Linked DNA regions of Caenorhabditis elegans. The protein of the gene in region 1 interacts with the protein of each later gene in a pairwise test. Each region holds a gene or a part of one and is shown on either strand. Other genes may lie near its edges.

Evidence for each region.
Region 2: the proteins of lin-10 (region 1) and egl-9 interact in a two-hybrid assay, tested with the Caenorhabditis elegans proteins (one study listed by BioGRID).

Annotation. Positions count from the first base shown.
Region 1 is NC_003279.8:8,116,279-8,121,433, forward strand, and holds the start of lin-10 (Protein lin-10), read right to left. Parts: upstream 3,037-5,155; 5' UTR 3,036-3,036; coding exon 2,885-3,035; intron 2,240-2,884; coding exon 2,001-2,239; intron 1,402-2,000; coding exon 1,312-1,401; intron 1,104-1,311; coding exon 1,052-1,103; intron 589-1,051; coding exon 365-588; intron 1-364. UniProt on the Caenorhabditis elegans protein: Required specifically for the determination of 3 vulval precursor cell fates P5.p, P6.p and P7.p during late second and early third larval stages; required for basolateral localization of receptor tyrosine kinase let-23.
Region 2 is NC_003283.11:10,466,413-10,471,744, reverse strand, and holds the start of egl-9 (Hypoxia-inducible factor prolyl hydroxylase), read right to left. Parts: upstream 3,229-5,332; 5' UTR 3,221-3,228; coding exon 3,146-3,220; intron 2,802-3,145; coding exon 2,673-2,801; intron 1,346-2,672; coding exon 868-1,345; intron 823-867; coding exon 629-822; intron 513-628; exon of another isoform or gene 451-512; intron 1-450. UniProt on the Caenorhabditis elegans protein: Cellular oxygen sensor which regulates the stability and the activity of hypoxia-inducible transcription factor, hif-1. In normoxic conditions, hydroxylates hif-1 targeting it for vhl-1-mediated proteasomal degradation.

The sequences.
Region 1 (5,155 bases):
CTAAAGTTCACAGTTCTAATGGTCTAATGCTTATTGTTTAAAAGTGGTGTAGCGCCAGTGGAAATTTTGCCAAAACATGTAGAAAGGTCTAAAAGAAAAAAGGTCTATCGAAATAAAACAACAGCCAAAAATGTTCAGGTTTTTTCAAAAATTTGTGTCAAAGTTTTGGCATATTCCAAATATTCGAAAACAGTTGTTATTTTTGGGAAAGTTGGAGGTTTCTTGCACATTCTATGCGCATACTATGTGACTCCATAAATTGAGTTTTTCACATTTGGCTTTAGGAACTTTGATCATAGATTTCAGTGAAAAACTTTTTTTTTTCAAGAATTAATTCTCAAAATTCCGAAACCGAACGACATACCGTTTTAATATTTTTATTCTGTGATCGTCGTGTTATCTCTTTTTCCATTTCACTCATTTGTTTTCGAATGAGTGAATCCGTTCGATCACCGGATAATTTCCGCTTTTCTTCACTTTTCTCCTCTCCTCCCGCTGATTCTTGCGAATTTTCAGGAGAATCTGATTTTTCGATGACGTCACCAATTGTCACATCGGATGACGTGGAAGTTGGTACAAGAAGCTCATCTGAAACATATTTAGGTTTGAAAATTGACAATTAGAAAAATGTTCAGGGGAAATCCCTTCAACTTTTCGTGTGGTCTCTAAGTTCCGTCCAGACATGATGGTGGGAGACGTACAACTCCTTTCGGACATGGAACAATTAGTAAATCGGCTGAGCAAAAAGAGAGAGTGTGAGATGATAAGAGACGCAGAGATATCTCTCTTGTCTCTTCTTCTCACCAAAATGTTCTCGTGTTACATGCTCACTTGTGACAAATGAGATACATGCTGGATCTTTTTTGAAGATTTTCTGAAGAACTTTTGGAAAATGCAATTTATTCGAAATTTTTAAAGTTGGAGTTTTACATTCCACTAGACGAAGAAGGAAACTTAATACGTTCTGTGAAAACTGTACGCCAAACGTTTGAGATAATGACTGATCTTCTGGCATTTGGCCTGAATTTCTAAAAGTGAAAAACCAACTAACCATTATTTTGAACAACGCCGCTTGTTTCCGTAGAATCTTCTGCTGGTCTCACCTAAAAATTAAAGACTGAGTTTGATTTCTAAACTAGAAGTATATTTTAATGAACATTTTTTAAAATTTTATCTTTTAAATTCCCGAACCACATTTATTTATTTTAGAGCTACAGGAAGAACATGAAGAAGCTCCCCAAGTCATCACTTCGCCTAATTTCCAGCGTTTTGCTTGTGAGTTCAAGTGTTTGGGCTCTGCCGTAAACGAACCTCTCGATGATTTGGTGACACATTAGAGGACACAACACTGCCAGCTGTCTGCCTTCCGTTATCGTCTTCTGAGCGATGAGATGATGATGCCTGAGAATACTTGAAGGTTATGAAGTGCAGATGAGAATTTTGGGAGCCATAAATGCATTGCTTTTGGTAATATATTTCTAGATCTATTTCAATGTCTAGAAATATCAAATACTGTTCTGCATCAATGCAGAAGCATAACTTTGTAATAAGAATTTGTGAACTTCTTGTGAGCTTGACTAGGTTACATCAAAATTAGAATTTCTAGCCGGCAGAGAGTGACGGAGGCGCCTCTCACACGCCTCGAGCGGGTGTCAGCCATGCATCATCAAACATCCAATAAGCATGTAATGTCTTAGGTTATTATATTGTGGCAAATTCGCCAAATCAGAAAATTATATGGTTTTTCCAGTTCACATGTTTTTATTGTGAATAAAACAATTTCGAGAGCTCTAAAAATAGTTCTTTCTGCAAAAATAAATTTCGCAACTTTTCTAGTTGTACAACAATGTTCCAAAATTGCGAAACATACATTTTCTGATGACTAATGTCATTTCCTTCATTTTTTTAAAGCTTATCAACCCCAGTTTTAAAAACTGCTTCTAATGAAAAATTGACAGTGTTTCAATTGTTTTTGTAAAATAACGCTTTATAAAACAAACCTGAGAAGAAGGTCTTGGCTGTTGAAGAGCCGGCTGAAATTGCATGGGAAACGGAATCGGAAACTGTGCTCCACTCGCGGCCATCATTTGTTGAAAATAATGATGCATGACTTCCTGATATTGAGCTGGAGAGAATACCATCTGAGGTTGAGCTTCACCCTCCTGAGCAGGAGCACCCGCTGTTGGAATATACGGATTCAAGAAGGGATTTGCGAAAAAATGACCAGGAGGGATCATTTCTGTAAAAAATCGAATATATTGAAGAACAAGCTTTTCCTATTTTAATTGTGTTAAGTAAGCAAATATAAATAACCAATGTCATACATTTTCATTCTGTGCACAGAAGTTTCCTAGTGCAATATATTTAAAATATTTTCTTATACTTCCGTGTAAAATAGATTTTTGTAGGGAAGGCAACATGAAAGACGTCCAGCCATATGAATAATAGCCTATTTTTGTGGTCAGGCGGCGGCGGGGAAAAATAAGAAGAAGAGGAGAAGACAGGGAATTTTTAATCGAGAAGGTTCGAAAAACAATAATATCCCCTCTATTTTTTCTTATTCTTCGAGTGAAAATATTTGAGGAAAGGTTGACCAAAACGAAGGAGCAATTCCTTACGAAAAGTTAATATAGTCTTACTAGGGCTGGCAAATCAGACTGAACCTATCTGGATTTCAGAGCCTTTTTTCTGTGTTATTGTGTTTTTTTCATATTTTTTTTAACTGATTTGATTTTGTCTTGCTTTTTCAAATATCTAAACATCAGATTTTTGAAGATCCGGGAATATTTAAACACACCATCTAAATTTGAAAAATGACACTCAAAAAACTTGAAGTCTGGTATATTTGTTTACACTTTAATTCAAAATCTCTTGTAAAACTAACGAAATGGGACTTGTTGTTGCTCTCCTCCCCCACCACCACCGGCTCCACCCCCTTTGCTCGGCGGAGGAGTAGGCGTGGCCGATGATGTGGGGACCCCGTGTTCAGGAGACGTCGTGGCGGCTGTGGCTTGTGCTACTGCTTCAGATGACATCCTGCAACAGAATTGTTCATGGTCCGATGGAAAATAGATAGGAAGATGAGGGAAAGAGAGAGGAAGCGGGAAAAGGACATGGATTATTGGATGCTCTTCTCTCGTCTCACACGCGAATTAATTAGAGCGATGAAGAAGAGGGACAAGAGAGAAGCAGACAGAGAGAGAGTTAACGTGGGAAAATTTAGAATTAACAATTGTCACCTCGAAGTTATAAGTTAAATTTTTTCCTAAAATGAGAAAATGGGAGATGCTCAAAAAGTTTTAAGATCGTGTTCGGAAGTACTGTAACACAACATGGAGTTCGAATCTACACAGACTTACAATTATGTAGTAAAAAATCTACATATCTACATATCTACATATCTAAAAATCTACATATTTTCACTCGGGAATCGCTCGCCCACTATGGGGGAGTCTACGCAAGGACAACGCAAGGACAAGGACAACATTCTAATGGAATGGAAACAATTGCCCGACTGCACCAATTCTAGTACAAGCGAACAATGATAACTTTTGTATTCTGTATTCCTTCACGTCTCCCAGCGAGCGTAATAAATTATTATTATTATTATATCTAAATAAAATACTTTCAAATGAAAATGTTGGTAAATTGCCAATTAAAAAAATTGGAGTTTTTCATTAATTTAGAGCAATGCTGCAAATGCGAAGACCTAGGTTCTAGGTTCACTTGTAAATAATTGAAGCGAACTTAAAATTAAACAATGTATTGGACCAATTATGATAGGTGGAAACTGATTAATTGCTATTAATGTAAATATAACATTTTCAAAAAATGTTGGAAAGTGTTAGAATGATATTTTCATCATGGGTGCACTATAGGTGTAGTTTTTAACATTTTTCCCACTGGAGCATAAGAAAAAAGAACAACAAGCGGAGACTGATCGTGAAACAAAATATACATTGAGGAAACCAAAAAATGCAGTGTAAGGAGTTCCCGAAGCAATATGTCGTGCCATGTATGCACGTCTTCTGAATGCCAATTCATTTGTCATGTTTCTTCGACACTCTAATCCCTACTTTCTCAGCCAAATATATGACACGTGTCGTTTTCTTTTTTTGCTGTTTCTTTTATGCCGTGCTTGCTAATCTCCAAAATATCGAGTGCTTTTTGGACTTTTGAGGGCGTTTGAAAAATATGTTTAACCAAACAATTGTATTAATGTAAGCCGCTAACTAAATGACTTTCAATTGACAATTTTCCAATTGTCGCTTTAGATGTTGAAAACGAATTTTTTCCAGATGTTGAAAATAAAGATAACTTCTTGTATTTTAGGACAAGTTCTAAAAATGTGAAAATATAACTGCATTGTGATAGAATTCCGCAAAGTATTTCTAATTTTTGACCTAAGCCATGGGAATCGTGAATGATCAACTAAATTCTTGGAAATAAATGAAAACATTAGAACAGTAAAAAGTTGAAGCTTTAAAACCTATTCGAGACGTTTCTCATTCGAGCAGCGCGGGGTTGAGAAAAATAGGGAAGAGGCGAGAGAAAAAGTGTCATAATTATGCTAATTCTGCTCTTTTCCATCGTTTTCCTTCACTCTCTCTTTCCATCCAACTCTTTTCCAGGGCACAGACAAAAAAGTATCAAAAACGGAAAGAATACACCAGATGACGGGATGAATGGGAATTTGTGATGGACGAATGGACAATACAAAACTGGTAGATGAACGAGAGAGTATATAAAGATGGAAAAAAGTGTGAATAATTTCACGTTTACTGTTATTGCGGAATAGATGGCAAAAAAGTAAACTTTTCAATTTTGAGATTAGAGTTCAAGCCGAAAATTCCGTTCAAAGTTAGTTCAAAGTTAAAAAATGTTGAGAAGTTTGGCACTACTCTACGTTTAACTTTCAAATATTTTGAATTAATAACTGTATTCGTTTCTCAATTACTCATCAAAATTTAAAACTATTTCAATCGCCTCAACAATATCCCATACTAATCCTTTTCGTTCATCTTTTCCTCTTACATGAGTCACCAGAAAGACGTCAATTTATCAGCTTTTTCTCTCTACATTCTCTAATTTATTGCAATTTCTTTTTTGTGATTTTGTCAGATAGTGTCATTTGAAAAAGTGCACAAGCTTGCAC
Region 2 (5,332 bases), on another chromosome or scaffold:
GATCAACAGATGAAAATAGACATTTGAAAATGAATTCATATGTTCCACTACATTTTTTGTGTTTCCATTCTAAACGGAAGGACTTCTGAACGGAATGAAAAAGCATGATATTTTCTTAACTCAATAGTGCTCATCAGATTTTCTGAAGAGATAACAAAAATATCAAGTATGCTCACTATAAAACTTCCAGTCTTCATCAAAAGTGAATTTTTCTGTCACCTGACTCACTGTCTACTACTATCATCTCCGAACCCTTTGAACGCGTGATCCATCCCTGTCTACTCGTTCCTATCAACATCAAACAAATCGAGTTCACTTCCATTTTATAATTACTCAGAGAGCACAAAACCGACCAGCCAATTTATTTTGTTGCTGTGTGGCTCTGTTTCTAACCGCTTGGTTTAACTGCCATTTTGTGCAGCATTGCCGTCCGCTCCACACACACACACGCTTCTCACAAATCACGTAAAATTCGGGAGGGCTCGCAGAATCCGCACGTTGGCATGAGCCTAGATACACATATTCACATCAAATAGTTGGTATTTTCACCAATGAAACTAACATGGAAATACGGAAATAAAAAGGTTTTGGCCTTTCGATGAGACTTTAGATGATTACGTTTACTAACCTGAATATCCGGATCATCAGTTTGAATTATCTTTTCTTTTCCAACAGTTATTGTCTCGCTTTTGCCTGAACTTGTAGCTGAACTTGTCGTTGTCGCTGGAGGTGGAATAGTTGCTGTGGAAGCAGTTGACGGTACCGAAGTTGTGACAAGAGCCAACGAAGCTGGTGAATCTCCAGCAAGACTCAAAACTTGAGCTTAAAGATCTTTTATATCAAAAAACTGTTAAATTGGTAGCTTACCGAGTCTACTGATATCACTTTGAGCAGTACTACTTGTTGGGAACATTGCAAGGGAAGCTGATGACATGTGTTCAAGTGATGCTTCATGTGATGTGCACATGGAAGACATTGATTCAGAAGAAATTGAATTAAACACATGCGTATTTCTGTATGGTTTGAATGCACTTCCTTCACTACTGAACGGTACTGTACTTGTTGATGATATCCTTTGTGGAATTTGGATTGGAATCGATGGCTCTGGTTCGGTCTTCGATGTGATCGAAAATGTTGGCGGAAAATTTGAAATAGTTTGATTCAGAATTGGATTATTTTGAAGAGATAGAAGAAGTGACGTGGTAAGTGCAGGATCATCAAACGAAACAGTAGGTGGAATTGGAGCCATAACAGCAGGTGCTGCCTGAGGCATCAAATTACTTGGCACCATGCCACTTGTTTGAAGTGACTTGCATATCATTTTATGTGTTAGCCAATCGAGTTGCTGGAAATTAGATATTGATTCTGAGTTTCGTATTGGAAAAACTAAAAGTTGTAGAACTATTTGAAATACTGAACAAGAATAATACCCTCTACTTCCTCATTTTGTTTTTGCATGTGTTTTTAGCAAATTGTATTCAAAATTTTGATCTCATCTATGGCAAATAAATTAAAAAATTGCAAGCGTCTAAAAATTGAAATCCATAAGTCGCTTTAAAAAAATTGTCTACGTGACACTTGTGATGTTTCAATTTGTGAAAAGTGCACGGGCGTGGCTTGATTTGGGTTATGTCTAATGAGAGAAAGGTGTGATGTTTAGTAAGAAAAATAAGTTGTTGAGCATAAATCAGAATATTTATGAAACGACGTGGGAAACTAAACAAATTTTTTATTTGCATGTTGTTGATGGACGTGTCTAGAAAAGTAATAAGATCAAAAAGTTGACAATGGGAACACAAAAGAGGAAAAGTTTTAGAAATACGAATGAATCATATTGTGATTTTTGTTGCACTCAAATAAGGAAGTAAAATATTTTGAAGCAACATATTCTCGTCTAATAGTATACTATGGCCACAACATATACCTCTAAGAATTGTTTCCGTCTTTTGTTAAAGTTTGATATTTCCCAACTTTTATGCTGAATAATTTAGGAAGTTTAAATGTAGAGGGTCACTATGATTATATTATTAGTGGTTCTTATTGAAAATTATATTTTTTAACGAAACAAGTTTCAGAACTTTTTCAATACTTTTAATAACTAGACTATTGTTCTTGAGAACGTCACAACTTTTTCTGGGTTATCTACAATCCTCCGTCCAAATTCCGTCGATAAAATCTAAAATCGCTGCCACAGCTTTTTTCTCGAAATTAAAATTTCTTCCTATTGTCATCATCTATTTCCCCTATTTCATTTTGATGTTTTTGCAGTAAACACAGACATTGGTCTACAAATGTTTCTGTCTTTCTTGTCTGCGCACATATGCTTCAAAAAGCTCTTTCTCGGGAGGAGGGCAGCCAGCCGAAATGTTCGAATCGACACGTTCTTGCGCGATATGCAGGTTCAGGTTATTTTCCGAAAAATTCAACAAAAATAAGACAACTATAATTGGAAGTAGTTGTCAGAAACAAAGTATAATTTTAAACAGGAACTAGATTTGATTCCCATAAATAGCCAGTTCAAAAATTCGAAAAGAAGGGAGGAATTAGAGTCAAAAACAGATTTAGGGTAGATGCATCGTGAGAAGGGACGGATTACGTGAGAACACTTGTTTATCTAATCAGCAGGACCCCCATTATTTTGTTGATCAACGAATACACCCTACGGTACCAACCTGGTGCTCCTTGGAACAATAAGCCACTGTTCCACAGAATAAACATGTTTGCAATTGGGAAGATGTGCACGAGCTTCCACAATATGTACACTGTAAAACAGCTGTAGAAGAAGATGGTTGACTGAGCATCTGAATAATTATTCATTATTAATGTGACCCAAATATGTAATTCTGAAAAGTTATGCTTTTTTGAAAAATGTACGATTTCAGTGATTTTTAACTCTAATGCGAATAGGGGTTCCATACTACAAACAAAACTTCAAAATTGCTAGACTTAATAAACTAGTCCCATTGATGCAGTGTTCACCACATACAGAAGTACAGTATCCTTTTTACAGATTTTTTGAATAGTGAATTTCAGAAAACAGAGTAATAACTGTTTAAAAATCACTTAGGTAATTCATTTTAGGTGTTCAATTTTCAAAGGTTGGTAATAAGAGTTTAAATTTTCTAACTAAAGTAGTTTAACATACCAGCGTTGTAAAAAGTGAAGCGGTAGAAGGTGTTCCCTTGTCGATCTCACAGTCATCATTTGGGGCACTGCTCATGTCATGTGCTGCAACTTTTTTCTGTCACATTCAGTATCTGGCAGTGATCAGAAAATAACCGAAAAATATGTGAACGTGATAAAATGAACGACGTGGCACCGAAACTGATTGTTTGCGTGTCTTGTGTGCTCATCTCTCTCTCTCTCTCGTGCTTTTTTCTCTCTCTCTTTGCATTTCTCTTATCATTAAAAAAAATGTCCATCTTAGCGTTGATGATTTGCACGACGACATTTTGCCGTTTATCACACGAAGAAGTTAAGAAAAAAAAATTGAAAACGAAAAAAACTGTTCTCAGTACTAGATGAACGGTGAAAGAAATGTGTGGTGGTTGTGATTGGACGGATCAAAGAGACACGATGACAAAGAAAATCGAACAAATTTGATCAAGAAAACAATATAGATTAGAAGTAAAACAGAAATCACAAGGGATTATCCTGGTATATTGTCTAAATAGTAATAACAAAATATGGTTTCATTGATTCAAAAAGTTATCTGTCAATTGATGCCGTTAACCTTCAAATGAAATTTGATTTCAACGTTTAAAAGACGTGTTATTCAGGTTAAAAATTGTTTGATATAAAAGGAATGTGTAGTATGGACTACTCTTCAATAGTTTCCGGAAACACTTATAATTAAAGTGCACTCTTAATCGGCCTTTGAAAAAAAAATGAAATGAGAACGTTCGAAAGAAAAGTTCAGAAATATAAAAAATTAAACTAATTCAAGTAACACAAAAGAAACGGTTTCAAAACGGAAGTTACAGACTATTTCTTTGCAATTTTTAAAAATAATTTTAGGATTTCTCGGTGGAAATCACTTCGACCTTCATCATTGATACGGTAAATCAAGAACGATTTTCTTAAAAGTTATTAAACTGAACAAATTTACGATACATTGTACTCTATACACCAGATGGCATGAACATAGAAACACATTTTTTGGGAATAACGAGACAAAGCTTTGAAATAAGGAATATCTGTATTTTTTCTTCAAAACTTGAATTAATATGTACATTTCAGCAAAGAAAAAACAAAGAGAAATCTTATGACCAATCAAGTGAACACCAATGAGATGCTAAACAAGTTTGACTGAACTTCATCACATGGTAATAACTTTTTATTCATCAATTTTAAAATTTTTATGTTCTAAAATGTTGTGCAGGGTGTTTGGTGTCAAAACAAGGTTGCATCAATCCAGAGAAAAAGAGATGGAACATATTACGTCACGCACTTTTTTACATTCCCACACCTTACGAAAGAGGGCAGAAATTGAAACGAAGAGAAATGAGAAGAAGATATGGAAGGAACAAGAGTTTTGAGAGAGGAATGTGAGACAGATGGGTGCACTCTTTTGCGACATGTTTCTTGCCTATTCCAAAGATCACTCTTTTATATTTGAATAGATAAAAGAGTAGATCTTCGGAAAAGTTTTAGGAAATTTAAGTGTAATCAGGTACAGTAGTCATAAGAAGATCGAATAATTGTTTGATAGTTAAAAAAAAGAACTTTGATATAATAATTGAAAAGTCCGTGATGCTTTACCCAGTTAATTGGAAGAGCATAACAAAAAATGCAATGCGCGGAAAATGACGAAGCGGGAGATCTTTCCTCTTCATTTTCTCTCTCTTTTTCTTCTCATTCTCTCTTTCACACACATACACGCATATAGGAGGAAATCGAGAGATAGAGAGAGACACCAAAACTGTCTACGTGCGCAAATGAAAAATTGGTAAGACAGTTAGAGACACAGACATAATGGTAGATGAGAGCACGGAGACGCAGATTGTGTTGGAACGTGAAAAGCGCACGCTCACATGCACGCGCACTCTGCTTCTCCACCAATCTCTTTACTATCTCAATGTGGTACAAGGTGTGAGGAGATTCGGAAAGGAATGGTCTTTGAGGTCTTTCGTGGGTGATGCAAATTTTTTTTAATCTTTAGCATAACTTGTTGCACATTATGCTGATTTTTCAAGAATTAAGTATAACCTGAAAACTGAGGACTGTTATTAAGAATAAAATGAAGGCATTACTAATTGTCAGTTATCAAGTATTTTTCTGAGGAAAACGTTTGTTCGCTGCATAGAGAAAACATGAATCTTTGAGATAGAAC